Linked DNA regions of Coturnix japonica. The protein of the gene in region 1 purifies or fractionates together with the protein of each later gene. This does not show direct contact. Links are inferred from orthologs where the notes say so. Each region holds a gene or a part of one and is shown in the gene's direction. Other genes may lie near its edges.

What was found. The genes of interacting proteins can lie anywhere in the genome.
Region 2: the proteins of SNRPA1 (region 1) and PHF5A purify together in Homo sapiens (affinity purification with mass spectrometry; 4 studies listed by BioGRID and IntAct, with this or other methods). This does not show direct contact. The link is inferred for Coturnix japonica from reciprocal best matches to the Homo sapiens genes SNRPA1 and PHF5A.
Region 3: the proteins of SNRPA1 (region 1) and SF3A2 purify together in Homo sapiens (affinity purification with mass spectrometry; 8 studies listed by BioGRID and IntAct, counting the BioPlex papers as one, with this or other methods). This does not show direct contact. The link is inferred for Coturnix japonica from reciprocal best matches to the Homo sapiens genes SNRPA1 and SF3A2.

The regions. Positions count from the first base shown.
Region 1 is NC_029525.1:15,973,594-15,978,328, reverse strand, and holds the start of SNRPA1 (U2 small nuclear ribonucleoprotein A'), read left to right. Parts: upstream 1-1,818; 5' UTR 1,819-1,917; coding exon 1,918-1,999; intron 2,000-2,222; coding exon 2,223-2,370; intron 2,371-3,089; coding exon 3,090-3,168; intron 3,169-3,315; coding exon 3,316-3,362; intron 3,363-3,460; coding exon 3,461-3,563; intron 3,564-4,071; coding exon 4,072-4,151; intron 4,152-4,735. UniProt on the Homo sapiens protein: Involved in pre-mRNA splicing as component of the spliceosome. Associated with sn-RNP U2, where it contributes to the binding of stem loop IV of U2 snRNA.
Region 2 is NC_029516.1:45,262,875-45,267,607, forward strand, and holds the start of PHF5A (PHD finger-like domain-containing protein 5A), read left to right. Parts: upstream 1-1,656; 5' UTR 1,657-1,813; coding exon 1,814-1,865; intron 1,866-1,981; exon of another isoform or gene 1,982-2,076; coding exon of another isoform or gene 2,077-2,128; intron 2,129-2,223; coding exon 2,224-2,247; intron 2,248-3,283; coding exon 3,284-3,450; intron 3,451-4,733. Other genes in the region: ACO2 (aconitate hydratase, mitochondrial), read right to left, coding at 1,454-1,489.
Region 3 is NC_029543.1:1,224,338-1,228,864, reverse strand, and holds the start of SF3A2 (splicing factor 3A subunit 2), read left to right. Parts: upstream 1-1,450; 5' UTR 1,451-1,507; intron 1,508-2,329; 5' UTR 2,330-2,380; coding exon 2,381-2,506; intron 2,507-2,911; coding exon 2,912-2,983; intron 2,984-3,302; coding exon 3,303-3,349; intron 3,350-3,952; coding exon 3,953-4,062; intron 4,063-4,527. UniProt on the Homo sapiens protein: Component of the 17S U2 SnRNP complex of the spliceosome, a large ribonucleoprotein complex that removes introns from transcribed pre-mRNAs.

The DNA.
Region 1 (4,735 bases):
TCAGAAAGACCTTCTGCTTTCAGACCTTTTGCTCTCCTGAATGGCCTCTGTGCCAGGCTGGGCTTTGTGCTTTGGTGCACCCAAGAACCCTCTGGCTGGGTCTTAGGGAGCACTCGGCTGTGTTGGTTGGGGGCTCGCTGCCCTTTTCCCATCCATACTCTGAGCATCCCACAGCCCTGCTGCCCACACTGCAGCTCACACCCAGCCCTCCTTGGCTGGGAGCAGAGGGAGCTCTGGAGCCTGCTGTTGTGTTTGTTTTGCAGCGATTAACTGCCCAGGGTAGTGCTTGGGTATCTGGTTCTGAGCTTTAAAAAGGGAAAAACTGAGCCCTCCCGTGAGGGGCTTATAGAACACCCCGAGTTGGAAGGGATCCACAATGATCACAGAGTCTGAAAGAGGATGTTTCCTCAGAGCTGTGCTGCTGTGGGCTCGTGCATCTCACAGCTTTTCACAAGTATCAGAGGATCAGTGGGACTGAGCCAGATGATTTATCACACACTGATTCCTTCTGCTGCTCTGGGATCCCCCTGTTGTTCTCGGGCCAAACCAGAGGTCAGAAATGGGGCGAAATGCTTCTGGCTTCTGCCACTTTGCTCATCAAATAACAAACTTCCATTGCTGTTGTCATGTCCCAGTCCCAGCCGGGAGCACCGTGTCAGCTCTGGCACTCAGCTCTGCCGTGGTATATTTAGATGCACTGAAATGCTGAATTTACCCTTATCCTTGGCACAAACTATGAAAGCACAGCCTGGCTGAGGTAGTGCAATTGAAGATGACCAATCCCCAGCAGTCTGTGCTTTCTGCTGCCTTCCAGCCCACAGGGAAAGAGAAACAAATCCTCCGTGTCGAGTTCATACAACGACATCAGCTCCCAGTGTTTCCCAGGGCTCCGACTCCCTCAGAAATCATTCCTGGAAAGCAATAACATTCAGATTATTTATCTAAGCTATTGCTTGGAGCTATTAAAGCCTCTCAGCCGCTGGTATGCACAGAGGATCAAAGTGTGCCTCTACCAGATAAACGAATACAATTTATTAAAGCACATTTCTTCATTGTCTCTTGGCACCAACAACTCAACTCTAACAGCTGGATCTTAGTGCAGCCTGAAGCCCCGCTCGCAGTTTGGCTGTGAGGCTGCATCCACAGCAATCTTAAAAACCACCACTTGGACTTTCCAGTACAAAGGAGCTTTCCAGAGCTCGTGTACAGCATCTGAAACCAAGAACTGCTCTGTTACAACCCCATTACAACCCCTAGAGCTGAGCAATACAGTGTGTTGTGCTATAGGAGGAAGGTCCGCATTCAGGTGGCTCTGAGACGCCTCCAGCTGTGTTGGGCTGTGCACAGGGAAGCAGTTCCCTCTGCTGACCGAAGTGCTGCAGCGCTTCAACTGCGACCACACCAGAATTGGGCACAAGGACAACTTTTATTTATTTATTTTTTATTTATTTAAATTGGCTCTTATTTACAATGATGCACTGGCACGGGTTGCCAAGACAAGCGATGGATGCTCCCCTCTACAACACCCAGCGCTGTCCCTTCTAACCCAACCACGCTGTGATTCCATGATTCTGATTTCTATGCGCTTTCCTTCCAGCTCGACAGCTCAGAAAAGCCACCTCTATACAGCCCCTCCCGGCCGCCATTTTGTGGAGGAGGGGCTGCAAGAGGACGGCCCTCTTCCTCTCGGCTATGCTCGGCTGTGTTCGGCTGTGTTCGGCTGTGCTCGGCTGTGTTCGGCTGTGTTCGGCTGTGTTCGGCTATGTTCGGCTGTGTTCGGTTGTACTCGGCTGTATTCGGCTGTGTTCGGCTGTTCTCGGCTGTACTCGGCTGTTCTCGGCTGTACTCGGCTGTGTTCGGCCTCGCTCGGCCGTGCGGCGCGTTGTGGGCTCGGTGCGGCCTGTGTGTCCGGGCGGGATGGTGAAGCTGACGGCGGAGCTGATCGAGCAGGCGGCTCAATACACCAACGCCGTGCGAGACCGAGAGCTCGACCTGCGGGGTGAGATGGATCTGCCGGGAGGGAGCCGGGCCTGGCTTTGTGGGGGGGGATCGGGAGCGGGCCTGTGTGGGGCCTGCGCTGAGGGGAGGCGTGGGGCCTGCACTGGGAACGGGCCGTGCAATGGGGGGGGTCGTTCTGTGTGTTAAATGCCTCTTTCATGTGTCCCCAGAGCTCCATCCCATCCTGCTTTATTCCCTTCTCACGTTTCTTTTCCCCCCCACAGGGTATAAAATCCCCGTCATTGAGAATTTAGGGGCTACGTTGGATCAGTTCGATGCGATTGATTTCTCGGATAATGAGATTCGGAAATTGGATGGGTTCCCTCTGTTGAGAAGGTTGAAAACTCTTCTGATGAATAACAACAGGATTTGGTACGTGGTTGTGTTGTGATCAGTGTTGTGATCAGACGGGACCTGGGGCAGAGCAGAGTGAAGAAGGGAAAAGAAGCGTGCCCGTGTCTTTTAATACCTGATAGGTGTAAAAATATCTGCTTTATGGGGAAGAAATAGCGCTTGGTATTTGCTTCAGCCTTCAATTAGCCGGCTTTGTTCATTGCAAAGTTCTGCCCCAGCTCTGTGTTCCATTTTCATACAGGACAATGAGATGCAGGGCCTGGAGTTTGTGTTGGGTCCTTGGGGGTTGTTCACTACCCCCATAGTGATGCACAGACAGGGGTGCCTGCAGCTGAGTGAACAGAGCTACCTTGCTGCACCTGGTGCCCTTACAGTGGCAGCTGCTGTTTTATGTTGGCTTTGTTACAAAGCTGATGCTCACCCAAACTTCTGCTGCTGTCATACTTGGCTGTGTTTAAGTGAGGTGCTCTATGTTGGCATGGCTGCCCAGGGAGGTGGTTGGAGTTGCTGTCTCTGTAGGTGTTCCAGAGCCATGGAGAGGGGACAGAGGTGGCCCAAAATGCTTTCAGCTGTGTTGGCCACAGACAGGTTTATTGGGCATGGTGGGGATGGGCTGAATGATCTCTGAGATCTCTCCAGCCTTAATGATTCCGTGATTTTTAATATATCTGTGTCTGTGTCCACCATTGTTAATTTCCAGCCAAAGGTAAAATCTTTGTGTTTTTATTCTTCTGTAGTCGGATTGGGGAAGGACTTGAACAAGCTCTGCCCAGTCTCACAGAGCTGGTTCTTACCAACAACAACATTTCTGAACTGGTAAGTTAGTGATGCAGAATAAATCTTGACAGCTCTAATGTTTTTGTCCTCTTTCTAATTAGTCGTCTTCTTCAGGAGCTTCATTCTGAAATATTTGATTGTCGTGAAATGGATTTAAGATTCTTACTCTGTTCTTCCATTATATAGGGTGAACTGGATCCATTATCAAGTATTAAAACATTGACTTACCTGAGGTGGGTAATCTTGAAAAGAAAAGCAGCGGCTTGTTGTGATATATTTCAATATATTCAATACATGAAGTAACTCTTTGTGACCTTTATTTGCCTCGTAGCATTTTAAGGAACCCAGTAACAAATAAGAAGCATTACAGATTATATGTTATCTACAAAGTTCCCCAAGTCAGAGTGCTGGATTTTCAGAAAGTGAAACTCAAAGTAAGTCTGTTACCTTCGGATTGAACACCAGATGGAGACCTTTTCTCCTATTAACTCATAGAACTGTAGTGAAATCAGTAAAGCTTTTTGCCCCAGCTGTAAATGGCAGTGGAACAGTTTGTCCTATGAGGCTTTAAAGCTGGTGCTTCTCTTTGATGGTTTCACGCCGTTAAGGATGTAATCTGCTTTATTGTTTTTAATTGATGTTTCACTGCTGTTGTTTGTTTAGTCTGATTCTTTTCTGGCTGGCCGGTGTTGGTGGTGATAAGGGGAACGTAGAGAAAGGAATGAGGGATCAGAGCAGAGCCCTCTGCTTGGGGCTGTTGCTTCTAAGAGCACTGAAGTGCTACACCTCGAGTTGGAGTGTTTGTGCAATGTGTTTGTGCTTGTCCTGGGCTCCTCATGCTGATGTTCACTGAAGATGAGCCAAAGCATCTTTCTTTGCAAAGAGCAGCTCTGCGAAATGCTACATCCTTCCATTAACTTTGTATGTGTGGTATCGCTGTAGGAGCGACAGGAGGCAGAGAAAATGTTCAAGGGCAAACGGGGTGCACAGCTTGCAAAGGATATTGCCAGGAGATCAAAAACGTAAGATAAAACAAACGCTTGCACTGGCGTTCTCCTTCAGAAACACCACGTTGTGTGCGGCACCGAACTGAGACGGCCCTGGTTGTTTGGATGGTGGTGAACACATCTGAGATCTTTATGGTAGACCCGTTTGGTCAGGGTGGATCGGGATATAGCAGTAAACAGGGAACTCTGTGTTATTTTACTGCAGAGAGGGGGCTGTGGTTTGCTTGGTTTTGCTCTCTATAGTGACTGGGAACTGAAAAATCTATTGATCACATTGAGGGTGCTCAGTGAGTGCTTAGAACTGTTATCAAATGTGCTCTCGCTGTGGTTAATGAGTGGAAATGGCCCATGTCTGTGATGGCTTTTGAACAAGTGAATCAATGAATCAAACACCCAGTTCACATCCCAAATACACGCAGGACAGGGCGCAGGTCTGTGAAGCTGGGTCACATTTAGGCAGCTCTTTCAAGCTGTGACTTCCATTTCCATAGACAACAAACGTCTGCTGTCCTTTAAGCAGCAGCAGGTAACTCACAAGGAACTTCCACCATTCATTTTACATAGGCTGTCCCAGTATCCTGTGAGATACTGAAATCCAA
Region 2 (4,733 bases), on another chromosome or scaffold:
TTGGTAACAGTCCCTTAAACTGAAAAAAAAGCCTACTTTGAATCTAATAATATAATACTCCCAAAGGTCTAAACTTCATGCATTTGCTGTGCTGACACATATCCACTTAAGTACACACCCACTTGACCTGACGTGACTGCACATACCATAAAAGGAGAAACAACCCATTATCCTAATAAAATATTTGCTTATGTTTTATCAGTAGTTGTTTCTCTTCAAAGTGCAAAGTAGCAATTATTTAACAGTCAACGATGAATACACTGAGATAACTGCAATGATGCCATGTTGTAAGTTTTACTTTAAAAAACAGTCCTTTTCTAAGACATCTGCACCGAGAGCAACAAAGTAATAACATAAAATGTGAGTAAGAACCATAGAATCACTGAATATCTTGAGTAGAAAGAGATCCATAAAGATCATCAAACCCAACTCCTGGCTCCACGTGGTACCACCCAAAAAGCCGGCCCTATGTGTGAAAGCATTGTCCAAACACTTCTTGAACTCTGGCAAGCTTGGTATTACGCCCACTGCCTTCTTCACAAAGTGCTTTCAAAGCACCTCACTCAACGATCCTTCACGTGTCCCTTCCAAGCTGAGCTATTCTGTGACTCTCTGATAAGGTTATTGCTGCAGCTCCCTGGGTAGAGGGAACACCCTCCCCAAGGTCACAGCTGGCAAATGGAGCAGTCCGAGCTCTCAGCTTCACCATGTGGCACGTACTGAGGGCAGCACAGCAAGCAGCACTACATGAGAAAATGGCATTCTACTGCCTTCTAGGCTTTAAAAAACAATCAAGTGTTTATTAGTGAGTAGATAGTAAACGGGATAATGCCCTTAGTACTGTAGTGCCCGTGATGGGCACAAGCAGACGTGGGTTTTAGAGGTCACAATGGAGAAGACTGGGAGAGTCATTATGAAGGTAGATTCAAGCCATTTGGAAAATAAAATAATAATAATAAAAAGATAATTGATGTGGCCGCCTGGCCTTGCACGGCCCCTTTAACAAACAGATCTAGGAACTCCCATCCACATGAAAGGCCGCAGTCCTGGAGCCGGGCAGCCAAGGGCACAGGCTGCTAACGGCACGAGATGAGGAGGAGCCCGCGGAAGGAGGAAGCACGGCCCCAGGCGCGATATCTCGGCCTACCCGGGCGCGGTCACCTTGCGCTCACCTTGAGGCTCAGCGGTGCCCGGAGGCGGCGGGACCCGCCCGACACCGAGGCCCATCAGGCGGCCGAGCCGCCTCCGCCGGTGCGGCCCCGCCATCGCCATGGAAACGGGCGTCGGGCCGCGCCGGGGACGCGCTGACCTACACGCGCAGACAGCGGAGACCCGGCCCCACGCCTCCGCCCGCCGCCCCGCGCTCCCTCTGCCCTCCGTCCAGGATTGCAGCGGCCCTCACCCCACCGCCCAGCCCGGCCTCGCCCGGCCCCGCCCGTCCCGCGGCGCTCACCCGCAGCCGAGCCGCCAGGACGCAGTACGGCGCCATTTTGTGCACTGACAAAGATGAAGTCGCGCCCCGATGGCGTCAGTCCGCCCTTTTGATACCTCTGGCGCGGGAGGAGGCTGAAGGGGGCGGGGTCCAGCGGGTCCTGGCAGGGAGGTACCGGAGGAGAGAGCGGCGTTCCCATGGCGGGGGTACGGGCGTTCCCCGCGTTGAAGGGAGCAGCGAGGCGGATTGGGTTTGAAGCACCATGCGGAGCTCGGTTACGGGTCGGTGTCCCCTCCCGGAGCGCCGCTTTGTCGGACGCTCTCCACACCCCTGACAGGACCGGGACACGGCGGCAGAGCACCGAGAAGTGTCGCCGGCGCCATGGCCAAGCACCATCCGGATCTCATCTTCTGCCGCAAGCAGGCGGGCGTCGGTGAGTACCGGCGCGGTCGTGGCCCTCCGCACCTTGACGGTGGGCTCGGGCGGCAGTTCGAGCCCGTTAGGTGCCCGTTAGGTGCCCGTCAGGCCCCTCGCGCAGCTCCTCGTTCTTCCCTCGGCCCTCTGAGCTCGGGGTTCGTGGCGCTCCCCGAGGCCGCAGGGATGTGGTTGGGGATCGCGATGCGGCGCTGAGTGCGGGTTTCCTTATGGCCGGTGGGAGCCGTTGGCCGGACACCGTGCGGAGGGACTGTGGGCCGGGTGGGTGTGCCCTGAGGACAGGCGTCGCTTGTATTTGCGTTCTAAATGTAGCCTCAAGTAATATGTGTTTTTTCGCATTCTTTTTCCCCTTACAGCAATTGGAAGGCTTTGTGAGAAATGTAAGTACATCTTCTGCGTGTAGTTGTTTGAGAACCCAACTCTGTGGTAAGTGCCTGCAGCTCGGTTTCTCTTTTTGCTCTGCTGCTGACTTGGGGTCACAACCAAATAGAAATAGCAGGTAACTGCAGCTTGGGCTGGGAGGAGTGACCTGTGTGTTGGCCTGAGTGTATGGAGCAAGTGCGAGAAAAAGACCGCACAGCTTCCCTTCAGCATCTGTTAGAATGGGAAATGGATGGAAAAAAGTGCTACAGCAGATGAATATGCAAAAACAAATATCTATGCAACCTACTGCAAGGAACCTGCTTTGGCCAAAGTGTTGGACTTGATTCCTGGAGATCCCTTCCAACCCCTATAATTCTGTGCTCGTGCTCACCTATAGCAGAAAAGAATAAGCACAATTGGTCATTAGATCCTTGCAGGAGCTCAGTACAAGTAAGCCAGCTATTTCTAGGCTCCAAAAAATGTTAAAAACAAGCGAAGTGAGGAGAAGCACAGTCTGAAGCAACTGAACTGTTTTCAGAAGTACACAGAAGTTAAATGGATTCCCAGTGGTAGTAGCTGAGGGCAGTTGGGACTGAGATTGAAGAGCAGGTTAAATGAGCTGTTTGTGAGAGTCAGGATTAAATACCTTGGGAACTGGTAATAAGATCTGAAGCCTTTCATCTGGAGGTCAGAGTTTTGGATCGGGGCCCGCAGAGCAGAGACTGTCCATGGCATCTGATGGCTGTTTGCCTGTATGATAAGAGCACTTGTATTTCTCTCAGTCCCTTGTGAGAAAGCAAGAGCAACTCTGTGAAGTGGCAATTTATGCCGGTTTGCCCTTTTTTTGGCCTTGGATATGGCTGGCTGTTGGCCCTCGTTCCTCTGAAGTCTGTGTAAATATAAAGTTGCACCTTGTGCCTGTAAGCTAAAGTTCTGCAGTCTAACTGCGTTGTCTTTGAGCATACAGGCAAGTTCTTTGTCCAGCAGACTTTTCCTCTTTTATGTGGGGTGGAGAAAAGGACGTTCTGTAACCAAAGACTGCTGTACTTGCAGGTGATGGCAAATGTGTGATCTGTGACTCGTACGTGCGGCCCTGCACCCTGGTGCGCATATGTGATGAGTGTAACTACGGCTCGTACCAAGGGCGCTGCGTCATCTGCGGGGGCCCAGGGGTGTCTGATGCCTACTACTGCAAGGAGTGCACCATCCAGGAAAAAGATGTACGTTGTCATCCAGTCTCCTGTAGAATTGCTTATGTCTTTGTTTAATAGCTATGCTTATCTTTAAAGGGACTTAGAGCAAGTGATATTAATGTTAGGACATTGGATGCTTGGGTTCCTCTCCCAGAACTGGCACTGGTTTTCATTTCCTTGCATGTTTCTTTTTCTGTCGGTGGTTCCCAGTGTTTGTGGAGCACTTTGAGGTAGCGAGCAGTGCCTCGATTCTGTATCCCATAGGATCCTTGTGTGCTTTACGATGCATACTCACAGTTCACTTCCTCCACGCTCTGCTTGTTACCACTTTCAGCTGTTATCTTACTAAATCTCTCAGCCAAAGTTTTATCAGCAGCAGAGACACTTTAGACGTTGCAAAGGCAGTGGCAGGATCAGCTTCTTACTGTGTCCGTGATCATACCATACATGGTATGATCATGCCACTGGCATATATGGTACCATAAGGCCTACAGAATCACCACCCATGTTTACTTTTGTGTTACAGTAAAATTAGCCCTTAGTGTCCTTCGTCCTTTGACAAGGCAGATGCTCGCTCTCTAGGTATTCAATAATATCCATCATAGTGAGGGCAAGTCATGAAGAACTGCCAATGAAGTAGTAGAAAGACTGTAGGGAAATGCAAGAACGTGATGCTTGCGGTTGCAGTGTGTCAGAGTATGGACCCAATGGAGAGTATCGGCTGTGTGGTTTTGGGGCTGGATCCTTTGCAAACACCATCTCCAGCACACCCTGATGTCAGCAGAGTGTGCTGACAAACAGCTCTGATTTAGAGGAATGTACTTAGCTGACTGAGCTGCTGCTTTAATTTTCTGCAGCACCCATATTTTCTCTAGAGGTCTTGCAGGGCAAGCCCGTGTCTGAATTTAGTCAGTAGATCTGGCGGGAGCACCATCTTTCTTAGTATCTAAGTATTATATGTGGATAGAAATGCTGTTGGTGGTACTGCCTTCTACATCTAGAAGTGCTGTGACAAGCAGTAGTTTTGTTGTCTTGTCTGTGGGACCAAAGAACTTGTTTGGCAGTTTATCAGTTAAATAGACCAATTCATATTGATTCCTAATAGGTATTTTTCGTGCTCTAGTCTCATCTGTAGGTTCAGATGTAGAGCAGCTCGCTGCTCTGGAAGGGAGGGTTATAGAGAATATAGAGCTGGAGGAGCAGATAGCAAGTCAGAATTGAGGTATTTTGATAGCTGGATGAAATCTTCTATAGAAGACCATTGATGTGTACCAGCAAACTTGCATATTAGGAACTATTGCAAATGTGAA
Region 3 (4,527 bases), on another chromosome or scaffold:
GTCCAGCTTTTGCTGCTGTAGGGCGATGGTTGTGTTTGTAGAAAGCAGCAGGGTGTGGTTTGCTGGCACTGCTTCTCCTCACCCCCACCGAGGAGCCTGAACTGTGCAGGGGGAAGGGAGGACGCCGTGTTGCACTGATCCACAGAGCACACGTGATAAACGTGAAGCAAAAAGGTGCGTGTGTGTATCTGTGTGTGTGTGAGGAGCAGCAGGATCCGAACCTCAGCTTCATCCGTCCTGAAGTAGAAGAGAAAGTTCACCACGAGCTTCACGAGGCGCTTCTTTAACACTGAAGAAGGAAAGGAGTGATGTGACAGCGAGCCCAGCGTGTGTGGGGCCCCCAAACCATCCCAGCACTCCCAGCATCTCCATTTCCATCCCAGTGCTTCCACCCCAGGACTTCCATTGTCATCCCAGCGCTCCTATCCCAGTACACCGTTCTGATCCCTGTGCTTCCATCCCAATACTCCCATCCCAGCACCTCCAGCTCCATCCTAATACCCCAATCCCAGCACCCCCAGCTCTGACCCAGTACTCCCATCCCAATACCCCCAATTCCATCCCATTACCACCATCCCAACACCCCCAGCTCTATCCCAACACCCCCATCCCAATACCCCCAGTTCCATCCCATTACCCCCATCCCAATACTCCTGTCCCCACCCCAACACCCCCAGCATTATCCCAATACCCCCATCCCATTACCCCCATCCCAATAACCCCAGTTCCATCCCATTACCCCCATCCCATCATCCTATCACCCCAACACCCCCATCCCCATCCCACCCCCAGCTCATATCCAATACCCCCATCCCAATACCCCATCCCAAACAAAACCCCAGCTCTGCCCCAGCACCCCCATTCCAACAGCCCCATCCTAATACCCCCAGTTCCATCCCAATACCCCCATCCCAACACCCCCAGGCTCTATGCCAATACCCCATCCAATACCCCAGTTCCATTCCCAATACCCCCATCCCAATTACCCCAATTCCATCCCTTACCACCATCCCAACACCTCCAGCTCTATCCAACAACCCCCATCCCAACACCCCAGCTCTTGCCCCAGCACCCCCAATTCCAACAGCCCCATCCCAATACCCCCAGTTTCCATCCCATTACCCCACCCCATCCCACCCCCACCCCATTACCCCCATCCCACACCTCAATCCATCACTCCCCATTCCCACCCCCAATTAACCCCCCCATCTTCCACCCTCACCCCCTTCCCACCCCCCCCTCTACCGCTGCCCCTTCTTGGGGACCCTCATCATGGATCTCTGCCGCTTTCTCTGCCGGTTGCCTGGACAGGACAGCAAGCTCCCGTTCGTTGTACCTCATGTCGGACCCCAAACGACCACCCCAACCCTACAAACCACCCCTAACCCTACAACCACCCCAACCCTACAACCACCCATACCCGACCCGGTAGTGCTCTATCCGGAACTAGAGGGGATGGAAGGGGGAGGGCAGAGCGCATGCGCCGGGAGCGGGGCTGAGCACGGCGGTATGGGGGATTTAGGGGGAGGGGATGTGGGGCTTAAAGGGGGGATATGGGGGAGTGAGACCCTCATTGAGGGGATGGGGTGGTCTGGAGGGGGGTCTTGGGCCCTGTGGGGGATTGTTTCGGGGCAGTGACCGTCGCTAAGGGAATAAGGGCCTGTGGGGCCTATAGAGCCTGTGGGGCCTATGGAGCTTATGGAACCTGTGGGGCCTGTGAGGCCTATGGAACCTGTGGGGGCTGTGGAGGCTGTGGGGCCTATGGGGCATGTGCAGCCTATGGGGCCTATAGAGGCTGTGGCATATGGGCCTATTTGGAGCCTGTGGGGCCTATGGAGCCTGTGGGGCCTATGGAGCCTGTGGGGCCTATGGAACCTATGGAGCCTGTGGGGCCTATGGAACCTATGGAGCCTGTGGGGCCTATGGAACCTATGGAGCCTGTGACCTGCACTGGAGAATGAGGGGGGTGAGGGGGCTTAGAGGGGTTCTTAGTGGAGGGACAGGACCCTCCAAAAGGAAACTGGGGGGCTATAAGTGGCATGGAGAGTTCGGGGGGTGTTTGTAGGGGGCTTTGAGGTGAGCTTTGGTGCTCGCTGAGGGAATGGGGGTGTTTAGAGGGGGGTGAGGGGGTGTCTGGGGGGTTGTGACCCCCATGTTAGTGGCTGGGGGGTGTGTGACCCTGTGTGAGAGGGTAGAGGTGGGCTGGGGGTGGTTTTGTCTCTTGCTGAGGTAATGGCAGTGCCTGGGCCGTGTCCTCGTGGCAGGGCTCAATGCGAGGCCCAGCTTAGGGCTGTGTTGTCACTTATGTGTCTTTTCTTCATTTTTCCAGACTTTTATTTTATTTTTCTCCTGAAGTCTCCAAAGCCCAGAAATCCCCACCATGGATTTTCAGCACCGTCCTGGAGGTAAAACGGGGAGTGGAGGCGTAGCTTCAGCCTCAGAAAGCAACCGAGACCGCAGGGAGAGGCTTCGGCAACTGGCTTTGGAGACCATTGACATCAACAAGGTGAGCCCCAGTCCTGCAGGCTACATGGGGTGAGGTCAGGGCTTCATCTCAGCAGAGAGTGAGAGGTTTAGTGGGGATCTGTGGAGTGGAATAAATACTTCTGTTCCCACTGATGAGGGACTCGAGCAACATGTGGAAGGGCCAAGCAGAGGGATACCAGCACTGGGCTTCTGTTATGTTCAGTCTTGGCACTGGTTCTTATTATGCTGCAGTTGGGTGTGCTGTTACCAGTGAACACAACTGCTCTTGTTCCTTTTTCTCTATATTCCTAAAGCAGTGTTGTGCTGATCCCTTCACTCCATGAGCTCATAGAGTTCTTACAGTGCAGCTCTGCTTTAGAATCTCGGTTGTTCAGTTGTTCCAATGCAGATTTTACATGTAACTTTTCAATCCTTCTCTTCCTAGGACCCCTATTTTATGAAAAATCACTTGGGTTCTTATGAATGCAAGCTTTGCCTGACGCTCCATAACAATGAGGTGAGTTGAGCAGCTGTCTGTCTTGATCTCCATGGCAGCAGATATTTTAGACTAATTCTAGCTCCAAGTGCTGGAACCGAAGCTGTTCCCGTTGGCTGATTGCTGGAGGGCCAATGGGGGGAGCAGAGGCTGTGTGTGTTAAGCATGACAAGTTTCTGACAGTTCAGCAGTTGTGAGCAATCTGAAATTTGTGAGTTTGATTCTGCTGTGCTCTGAGGATTAAAATATCTTTGTCAGTGTGAAATGTCACCTCTCATCTGTGACAAATATCTTTCTGTTCAGGAACAGTTCAGTCTTCATAACTTTCTTTTCCCCCCAGGGAAGTTACCTGGCACATACGCAGGGGAAGAAGCATCAGACCAATCTGTAAGTCATTCTCCACCGTGTTATTCTCCATTACTTGGGCACATTAAAATTAGATAATGAGCACCTATAAATCTTGGCCTCCATCATGTAGTAGCACTCTGGGCTTGAATGCTCTTTGTCTCTGTTTGTTTCCTAGGCATTCACCAGCTCTGCTCTGAACAGTGGTGCTGACAAGCTCCACTTCAAAGCCAGCTATGGCATTTAGATTAAGTATAACTGTAAGGGAAGCTGTTTTATGAATACAGCTTGAGAAAAGTTTGTAAGCTTTAATCTAAGAATTCAGGTTTGCTCTGCTTTAGATACCTGGCTTGTGTAATTCATTTCCTTTTTGACTTTTAAGAAGTCATCTCAGCTCCATCTGTGGAGCTGGACATCAAAGTCCTCTTAGGAGTGGGTGAGGTGATGGAGGTGACAGATTGTAGTCAAGGCAAGGAGTGGAACTGGCCTCCCATGGTGCTTGTGGAGGAGGAGCAGCAGTTTCCCATTATGCTTTCTGTGAAGTGCTGAATGCTCCGTCATACAGAACTCACTCTGCCTTTTAGAGTATCCTTCAGAACCAAGTGCTGATAACCATTTAACACTGCGCGTTTCCAATGAACCCAGGGCTCGTCGAGCTGCCAAGGAAGCAAAGGAAGCTCCTGCCCAACCTGCACCAGAAAAAGTCAAAGTGGAAGTGAAGAAGTTTGTGAAAATTGGACGACCAGGTTACAAAGGTTTGTCAGCAGTGCCTGTCATAGCAGATACCCCGTGGCTGCTGGAGCTTGCTTGAAGTGCAGTGCTGTGGGCATGAATTGTTCATCAGCCTTTTTAGCAGAGCTATCCATAAATAAGATATGGGCTTATCTCCTGATGTCCTTTATTGTTTAAATTACCCATGGGTTGTCTCTTTATTGCTGACAGTCGAGTGAGAGCCATTTTAATAATAGATCAGTACGTCTCAGTCTCTGTCAGTTCTTACTGTAGTCATATGGGAGATGGTGGCATTGCTTCAGTCTCTCTTTCCCTTTTATTGTGCTCTGCCATCTCTATTATGGCAGAGCAATATACTATTGCTCACAAGTCACCCACTGGATGTATAACTCAGTTTTTTTCCCCTCTGTTTCATTTTGGCCTTCAGTACAAGACATGGCTTCTTTATCTCCATGCATATTGTGTCAGTGTCTGTGCCCCACAGCAGC